2 linked regions of the Oryzias latipes genome follow. The protein of the gene in region 2 binds, or shares a complex with, the protein of the main gene of each other region. Links are inferred from orthologs where the notes say so. Each region holds a gene or a part of one and is shown on either strand. Other genes may lie near its edges.

Evidence for each region. The genes of interacting proteins can lie anywhere in the genome.
Region 1: eif2b2 (region 2) and eif2b3 share a complex: the UniProt entries of both Homo sapiens proteins name them as parts of the translation initiation factor 2B (eIF2B) complex. The link is inferred for Oryzias latipes from reciprocal best matches to the Homo sapiens genes EIF2B2 and EIF2B3.

The regions. Positions count from the first base shown.
Region 1 is NC_019875.2:24,320,700-24,325,356, reverse strand, and holds part of eif2b3 (translation initiation factor eIF-2B subunit gamma), read left to right. Parts: intron 1-1,754; coding exon 1,755-1,885; intron 1,886-2,038; coding exon 2,039-2,229; intron 2,230-2,366; coding exon 2,367-2,429; intron 2,430-2,570; coding exon 2,571-2,719; intron 2,720-4,657. UniProt on the Homo sapiens protein: Acts as a component of the translation initiation factor 2B (eIF2B) complex, which catalyzes the exchange of GDP for GTP on the eukaryotic initiation factor 2 (eIF2) complex gamma subunit.
Region 2 is NC_019882.2:17,134,593-17,139,754, forward strand, and holds the start of eif2b2 (translation initiation factor eIF-2B subunit beta), read right to left. Parts: upstream 3,552-5,162; 5' UTR 3,464-3,551; coding exon 3,292-3,463; intron 2,833-3,291; coding exon 2,712-2,832; intron 240-2,711; coding exon 88-239; intron 1-87. UniProt on the Homo sapiens protein: Acts as a component of the translation initiation factor 2B (eIF2B) complex, which catalyzes the exchange of GDP for GTP on eukaryotic initiation factor 2 (eIF2) gamma subunit.

The DNA.
Region 1 (4,657 bases), on a different chromosome or scaffold from region 2:
CCTTTATCAGATTGTGCTGCTTAACTTTCTAAAGCAAGTAGAATGGGGGTAACCCCATTTGTTCTGAAAGTATTTGCGAAAACATTTCATATAAAGGTGCTTTACCAAGATAAATCATTTCAAAATTGAATGTTAGCCTGTAGAGGGTTTAATCTCATTTTTCTTTGATTGCAAACTGTAACGTCAAATCCTCATTTCTCATCCTCCCGTTGATGTTTTTGTTAAACAGATGTAGATGTAAAATCTTCATCAATCATTGCATGACTAATGCACCTTCTATTGCCACCATATATTACGTCCAGTTAGATGACTCATTCTTTTCTTCAGCTTCTTTCTTGGACTTTCTTTTCACTGCCCCTCTCAACCTCTCCTGCTTCATCTCCGTTCTTTCTCTGTCTATCGCTGGAGGAGAGAAGTAGACAGAGTAACTGTTGTTTTTCTCCTGTTATTCAGATGGAAATTCTAATCTCCCTTTAAAAGAGAGTAAGTGAAGGAAAGTTGAAGGGGGGCAGGGTGGTGTGGGATGGTGGAGAAGAACACTGATTGTGGTGCGGAGAGAAGAAAATCGGATGTTAATTGAACAGAATTAGAGGTGATGGTATATTTTCCTCCAGTGTGCTTCTATTTAAAAATTGATCGCTGTTTTATTGATCCCATAAAAAAATGATGAGACTATATTCCAGTGGATTTGAGCAGCCAACTATCAGTTGGTTAGCCAGCGGTATAACTCCCAGACTTAACAGTTATTGTGTTTTGGGGCAAGATAGCCACATGAACCCCAAATGTTAATTTAGAAAAATAACAAACAAGGAATAAATCTGTAAATTCTACTAATTAAATTATCTTGTAAATGCTAAATAATATAGACATCCACTTGTATGCTCAAATCCATTAAGCAAAATGATGTGATGACTTCACATGCACAGCAATTTTACCAAAAATATCAGCGGATGATGTCAATCAAAAGTTCTACATTGACTAAACTGCTTCAACGGCGGTGAACACAACAATGCTCCTGCACAAAAAATGGAAAATTGATCGCTATTGCAAAATGAGCCTGTGCGATCAAGTATTGCAAAAGACAGCGTAAACTGCGATAAATGGTTACCTTTATGTTTACACACTTGCATAAACAGGGAAGCCTTTAATTTTCATTTAAGTGCACAATACCCAGTACATTGTTCTTTATTGTTGCCCATTTTAGTTTTAGCCAGTACTACCAGAAAGGTAGAAAATTGTTCTTTGGTGTGTTTTCCCACCATACAAGTTCTTTCCAGTCTCCTATTGAAGTAACTTTCTATGTAATTTATGTTACCTTTTTTTTTTAAACAGAACTGTTGCAGTGAAATGAAAACAATGCATTAGTTATTTTTTGTTTTCTTGGTTTTTGCTCGTTGTTCATGTGTCGCAGGTCATAGTGTCATCGCAATAGTTTTCCTCGTATCGTTCAGCCTGACTAATTATTAGTCTGCAACAAACTCCAAGGGGTAAATTGTAAAGCATTTTTTTGATTAAAAACCTGAAGTCATTAATTACCCAAAAACAGGAGAGACTTTGTGTTATATAGTAAATAAAATAAAGACAATCGGTTGTCATTATCAGACATCTGAAAAAAAATCAAAATCCAATATTGAAGATCCCTTGTGAAGTAATTTATCTTTGCAGTCACAACAATGCACTTTGATAAAATGTCATCAGCTTCACCTATTTTTAGCGTTACTGTTAACTTCTTCTTTCTTCTTCTTCTGTCTCAGGTCCATTTCATCGATCCGTGGAGAGCTGTTGCCATATTTGGTGCGTAAGCAGTTTTCCAAAACAGCAAACTATGAGAAAATAAAAGACGACTGCGAAGACCAAACGCAGAAAAAGAGCTCTACAGACGACGGTAATCCTCTGCACAGAAAATCACATCAGTAGCTTAAATATTGCTACCTGGTTTAGTCACCTCTCAATTCTGAAGGAGAGGCAGCCAAATTCCTGTTTCTGATGTTGCTTTGTGTAATTCTGACATTCATGGTGGTTCCCTTGTTCCCGTCAGAGGTTGTCATCTCATCACGGGATGAATCCCTCCTCCAGCGAGCCCAGGAACTCTCCTGTTGGAATGATCATCGTGGGGACATGAGTGAAGCTTACCATGGAGGAAAGCTGCGCTGCTACGTCCACATTATGGAGCAGGGACTGTGCTGCCGCGTTAACACGCTGGCTGCTTATATAGAGGCAAACCGGCTGGTTAGTGACAAATGACCCCGTTTACAGTCTGTTCAAATTCTGTAAAGCACTACTCCTAATAGAAGAACAGATATTTTTACTTTTAACTCTTAAAAGGCCTTTCTTGGAAGATGTTGTTACCTTTTTTTCATGGTTAGGCTCCAAAGCTGTTTGAAGAACCAGCGGTCCACCCATCTTCAGTCATTTCAGAGAGATGTCAGGTATATGTGACACACAAACGATCTGACATACTTCACCTAACCAAGTCCTATAATAATTGCCCCAAATCTATCACTCTGAAATGATTTGTATGTCTACTGTTTTGTTTCTGATCCACATCACTGCTTGGATTCTCCCCTCAGATGGGATCAGACAGTATCATCGGGGCTCTGTGTCAGGTGGCGGATAAAACCTCCATAAAAAGATCCACGATTGGAAACTCGACCACAGTAAAAGAAAAAGTCAAAATCGCCAACTCCATCATTATGCATGGAGTTGCTATCGAGGAGGGGTAAGAACACACATTTATGTACCGGTACATATTGTCAAGTATAAGAATGTGCCTCAGAATAACCTTTATAAAGTCATAAACTGTCACTCCTACTAGAAATTATTAGTAAATTGTCACTGTGTTCCTGGAATTCTTTCCCTTTTTAGTTTAATCTTCACTTCTAATTTTTTAAATTTCAGTTGGATGTCAGATTTTATTCAAATATAAACAGAACAATGGCTATTTTTTTTTTAAATCCCAGCAGAACCTTTCACCAGTTTAGTCAGTGCTATGCTAATGGTGTGTGGGAGCCTGTTTGTGCATCAGGGCAGATGCTCACTGATATGTGTGTGTCTGCTGATAGGAGGTGTAGGTTTTGTTTTCTGGCCTCTCGCAGGTCAAACAGGGATCATCGTGTTAACAAAGCATGTATTGGTGTGCAGCCAGCCAGAGACCAGTTCCAAACAAACAGAGCTGCTCAAGTGAAGCACAACGTCCGTATATTTCAGTCCACGTCACATTTACACACCTTTATCCAAGTTTCACCCTTGTTGTACAATTAGTGAAATACCTTTGACTCCTAATGGTTCTCTAAGATAGGTCCGTTTTTAATTTTTTGTGAATATGTTTAACTATTTCTTTTTTGTTTTGTTTCTTCACTGAGGAATCAAATCATTGTTTTTAAATTGGGACATCTGTGTTTATAGCTTAATAAGTGAACTGACTTTGTTTGAATTTTTTTTCTGGTTTTAAAGTGTTTACAGCGACTAAACTCAAAAAGAATGCGTTAAAAACTTGTATATTTGTTCTGTTTTATCATTATTATTTTTTGGGGGAAATCAGGAGTTCAGATCATGATTAGTTACATCATTTAAACTGCTTTGAAGTTTGAATTCCACATTTACGACCAAAGCCAAGCCTAGGTGGGGAAACTATAAAAAATATATTTGTCTTTAAATACATAGATACAGTTGTCCCTTGTTTATCGTTGAAGTTACATTCAAAAATAACTAGTGATAATTGAAATCTGCTAAGCTGTCATCTTTATTTTTGATAAAATGTTCACATTTTCACACTTTTCTCTCTTGTTTAATCCTCAAAGTTCAAACCTAAATAGAAAATAAGTCCAGTATGACAAAGATCTGCTCACGATTGTAGATTTTCGTAAAATTGGCGAGATGAATGCATCCTGTACAGGAGACAGGAGGGGATTGATTCACAGTGGTCTACAGCCAATCAGGAGGCAGAATGCGCTGCTTAAAAAAGAATCCACCAAAAAAAATCTGCACAGACAGTGGTGCAAAATGTCGAAGCGGTGCAAATCTTGCTCCAGGCTTTTGCTTTCACAGCTCTACTCCGATATATGAAAGACTTGATGTCATATACAGTGGTGGACAAAATTGTTGGTACCCCTCAGTTAAACAAAGTCCACAATGCTCACTGAAATGACTTGAAACGTTCAAAAGTAACAATAAACTAAAATTTACTGAAAATTAAATCACCAAAATCAGCCATTACCTTTGAGTTTTTGATTAACAGAATTATTTTTAAAAACAAACTAATGAAATAGGGCTGGACAAAAATGATGGTACCCATAACTTAATATTTTGTTGCACTACCTTTTGAGGCAATCACTGCAATGAAACTGTTTCTGTATTTTTCAATGAGCCTTCTGCACCTGTCCACAGGTATTTTGGCCCACTCCTCATGAGCAAACTGCTCCAGTTGTCTCAGGTTTTCGGGTGTCTTCTCCAAATAGCATGTTTCAGCTCCTTCCACAGATGTTCAATGGGATTCAGATCTGGGCTCATAGAAGGCCACTTCAGAATAGTCCAACACTTTTCTCTTAGCCATTCTTGGGGGTTTTTGGCTGTGTGTTTTGGATCGTTGTCCTGTTGGAAGACCCATGACCTGCGACTGAGACCAGGCTTTCTGACACTAGGCAGCACATTTCTATCC
Region 2 (5,162 bases):
AAGTTAAATAAAAAAAAATAAAGAAAAGGAAACTGTTTCTGAGGAATTTAGATCCAGATACAAGTTTGATAGTAGATTATAAATTACCCAGCTCAGTCAGCAACTCGTTGATGGCCTCGATGACGTTGGCTCTGAGAGAAGCGAAATGCTGCCTGAAGTTCTCCTCACTGAGTCCTCCAGAGGTCAGCATTTTGTGCAGAGACTCCTGCTGGTCTGCTTCCTCGCTGCTCCCTCGAGACCTGCAAAGGGTTCAAACAAAAAAAAAACCTGGAGGAATCAGAGGCACCAAACCAGATGTGCAATCAGCCCAGTATGGTCGCAAAAAAAAAAACAAAAAAAGCAGCACGTATTTAGTTACCATAACAACCATAATGATTTCTTTTTCATTGTGATTTTAAATGTATCTAATCTGATCATTTCCCTTGTTTTTATGAAACACATTTGTGGATCCTGAGCCATGGGGAAAGCTTGTCAAAAGATCTACGGGAACGGTAACTGATCTGTACTAAACAGGAAAGGGATAAGAAGATATTTATGGAACTGAGGATGCCAGTCAGCAGTGTTCAAATGTGAGGGGTTCTATTGAAACCAAACCACCATCACGAACATTTCTGCCAGAAAACTCGTTAGGGATGCAAAGAAAAACCCCACAGCTGTGATCCAAGGTTAAAATAGTTTCGGATTTTTTATTAGTTTTAGTTTTTGTTTCGTTTTGAATTTTTGTTTTTAAATTTATTTAGTTTTAATTAGTTTTTAGAGGCAGCTTTACTAGTTTTTATTTTTTGAAATTGCTTCGTTTTAGTTTAGTTTTTATTAGTTTTAGTGTTAGTTTTAGTTTTTTCTTCTTTTTTTTTGTAAATTAGGATATTTGTCAGGTGCATGATTCAAAATCACCAGAATAAGTATTGTATAATAAAAACTCAATCAAAGATCCATTTTGAAACACTTATTATTCAGAGGACACAAGGACAACCATCCTTAAATTAAAATACAACAGCCGATAACAGCATTACGTTATCTGCTCTCGCTTCTTTTTCGGGGGAGGGCGGGCGACAGGCTAGCTTGTCTAGGTACCGTTGATTTGCGTTTTTGTGTGCGCTTTTTAAATGTACTTTTAGATTCGTAGGGTTTTTCCCTTAGAGGAGCGTTCCACAAATTTTGTCTCCTGCTTCGACTACAAGGCACTTACTTTAGTTTTCGACACTGTTATATTAAAAAAAGTCCCAAATAGGACTCTCCCGCTTTCTCCCAACTTTTAATGCAGCCATCACGCTCATGTAAATGTCTATGACAACGCTAACCGGCAGTGTCTGACAGACATCATGTGACGTCACAGACAACGTGATGCCGCAGGGGTCAAATACACAGTAAAACTAGCAGCGTGAAGTAAATAGATTTTATTTCAACCCAAAAGACTTATGTATTAACAAAGATGAAAACTAAGTCTTTTTTGGGGTTAATATTATTTAGTTTCAGTCCGTTTTATACACACAACAAACAGTTTTAGTTAGTTTTCGTTTTTTTTAAAACTCTCGTTTTATTTTTATTTCAGTTAACGAAAATGTTTTTTCAGTTCTAGTTTTAGTTTTTTCGTTCGTTTTCGTTAACTATAATAACCTTGCTGTGATCCAGGACCCTCTGAAAAACTGTGGTGTGGATGTTTCAAGATGTACAATTAAAAAGGCACCTGGAAAAATAAATGGGCTGCACGGCCGAGTCGCCAGAAGAAAACCTTTTTGACGCCAAAAAGCAGCTGACAATATGCCACACAGAACAGACACACGCCTCCAAACTTCTGGACCATTAGTGATGAGACCAAGATTGACATTTTTGGCCAAAACCTTAAACGCTACATTTGGAGAGGAGTCAACAAGGCCTGTGATGAAAAGGACACTATTCCTACTGTGAAACACGGAGGTGGATCGCTGATGGTTTGGGATGTGTGAGCTACAGAGGCACAGTGATGGCGGATAAATGCAGCACTTTATCAGAAGATACTGGAGGAAAACCAGCACTTCTTCAGCTCAGGGGGTGCTCATGGGACGCAACAATCCAAACCACAAGGCCACGCCCACCTGTCATTGGTTCCAACAGAATATGTAGACGGTTGTGGAGTAGCTGTCTCAGTCTCCTCACTTCAATATTATTGAGCCACTCTGGGGAGACGTCAAGTTAAACAGCCCAACAATTTAAAGGAACTTGAAGTTTTCTGCCTTTTACCATTAGAGAAAATCAAGAACCTCATCCACAACGACCACAAGAGACCTGAAGCTGTTATTGATACAAAAAGAGGCAATACAAGGTATTAAGAACTGGAGTATGTTAACTTTTGAACAGGGTCATTTGGGGAGTTTCTGTTGTTCTTATGATTTCAAGGTGTGAACACTGTCGTTTAAAAATAAATGGCTTAATCTAACCACTAACCACAAGTGAAACAAGTTTGTGTTATCAATCCTGTTCTCTAAAAAACGTTTAAAATCCTTAATTTCTTCCAGGATTTGTAAACTTCTGAGCAGAACTGTATAAGGAAACTCAAAACATACAACCAGAAGAACTTTTTACCAATAAACCATGAAAAATGTTTTTAATGGAAACAGAAACTATAAACGTATTAAATGAAGTATTTTTTGGTGAGGATTTTCAGTCTGATAAATAATAAGTCTTTCTGCGTGTGCCTGAAACACACAGGTGAGTTCTGGGGGAATCCTCACCTGGCGTATTCCTCTCTGACGATCTTCAGGACCCTTCGGATCATGTTCCCCACCGTGGTCTCCGAGGGCTGAGCGGCCGTCATTCTCCTTCCCTCTTTTCGGATTATTTCCATCAAATCACCTGAAACAAGATCAAACTTTTTCTTTTATTTTGGTCATTCTTGTGCAACATAGAGACTGTCTACAGATTGATTTCATGTTGGCAGTTTTATTTTATTTTACAGACTAATTAAAACACACATAAATATTAATTAAAATATCCTCCAAGGGCGGAAAAATCTAAATAAAGTAAAAAAACTTTGTAAAAAAGAATATTTGTGTTAAATTGGTTGAATCCTCTCTTACTGGAGGTCAAACAATCACATATGAATAATACTATTTTGCTTTTACTCAAACACATGTTAAACTGGTCAAAAGTTTAAGAATTTTTTAACATTTCCACCTTTTCACTGAAATTCATTCAGTGCAACGTCTTTGCTTGCTGCATTCAATTTAGGGTTCCCTTTCCTTTCTTGTGACCATGGCAACGCTTCCAAACTATGACTTGGAGGTGTGGAATTAAAAGAGCAGCCTGACCCACCTGCGCTGCTCCACCGGGCCTGTGCGGTGATCCTGCGGAGCAGGGCTGTCGTTTCCCGGGCTGTCTCCGCGGAGCTCCGCAGGGGCCCGGTCCCGCTGCCCCCACGCTTCAGATCGGACAGGAAGGCTTCCAGCCTCTCCGTCAGGTCTGTTTCTTTGTCTGGACCAGGCATGGTTCCGATTAAAAAGCCCACTCAAGCCAAAAAACAACTCCCTCGCTCTGTCAGAAGGATAAGGAGGAAACACTTTCGAACCACTTCCGGGTGAGGGGGACGGTCCTTTTCTCTGATTGGTGGCTTTAAAACAGGGCGTTACATCAAAACAAACACCTTACAAAAATGTTAAATATCTTTATTTATTTATCCATTTATGTATTTATATTAATGCGAAATGTAATATATTAATGATCCTGTGGCGGTGGATCACAAAAGCTATGTGTCTGACATTTTACATGTGGAAAACAGTATGGAGCGGACTGACTGACTGATGGATGAGTGGCTCTGACCCTTCATGCCATCAGACGGACCAGAGTGACAGAATGTCTGACGGCAAGAGGGCTCGTGAAGGGTTTCCCTCACTCATCTGCTGCATTGCCCAAAAATGTGCCTCCATACTTCAGGTTGACAGAGGAGTTTTCCGTGCAACACATAATGTGTTCAGAGCTCCTCAACTTATTCTTCCAGTCAGTTTACATCACCAACTGATCATTTTGGCACATGAAGGTCATCAAGGCTTTGCAAGAACCAAGCAGAGACTCAGAGATTTGTACTAGTGGCCTGGCAGGGATGACCAAGGGATACAACACGTTAAAGGGTGCCAACTGTGTCAAAGTAGTGATAAAACTGCAGTTCCTGCTGCAGCTCCACTTGTACCGGCGCCATTTCCTTCTTTGCCATAAGACAAGGTGGCAATTGACGTTGTGGGTTCTTTTGAGACTGCTGTTTGGGAATGTAAGTATGCAATCACACTGGTGGATGATCACAGTATGGCCAGAAGTGGGTTTTGCAGCTTCTGTTACAGCTGAGACGGTGATCTTCAGTTTTCAGCAGAAGTAAACCCAGTTTACTGTTTGCTGCGTTCCTGCAAAAGAATGAATTCACTACAACAGTTATGTAGGTTGCATTCTTATTTGAGTAAAAAGAGGAACATGTTGTGTTCTGATGTTACCACTAGGGGGCGATGCAAGATTCGACAATGTGATGGAGAAGAAGAGAAGTGTATAAAGTATATTCTACAAACACATTCTGTTCAAAGTGTTCCAGAATGAAGTTCATGTGTAAAGAAACGCCATCTGATCCTCACAAGATACCACTACTGGGAGCATTTTTATCATTTTGTCTCTGGGTTTTGTCCCAAGATAGATAAAGGTTTAAAAAGCAGGTTTTTACTGTATTTTCAGCTGAAATGAATGTTTTAAAATGCTACAACGACAAGTGCATTGGTTCATAAATGGATTCTCTGGCCTCAAGCAGTTGCAGCATCTGTCTGATGATGTGATGCAGGGTTATCAGGACTTTAACCCCTAACCCTTTATGAAGGACTTACAGATTTGGGAGGAGCTTGGTAGAGTTTTTAAATGATTGAACAATAAATAGGTTTGGATTTAGTGAACCTGCAAATCTGTCTGCCAGAAAATGGGTTTTGATTTGTTAAACACAATTTAAAACATTTTTTATGAGCTGCAAATATATTTAAATATTGCTCTCACACAAGATCTGTTCTGCGCTCTGGTTCCTGACAAGAAGGTGATCTTTCATAAACTATCAGATGAGATTTTTTTCTATATGCAGATAATAATCGGATCATCTGTAAAAGCATTGAGGTTTGAAATGTTAAAGCGGAAATATTTCAGGTAAATATCCTTTAGGGTTA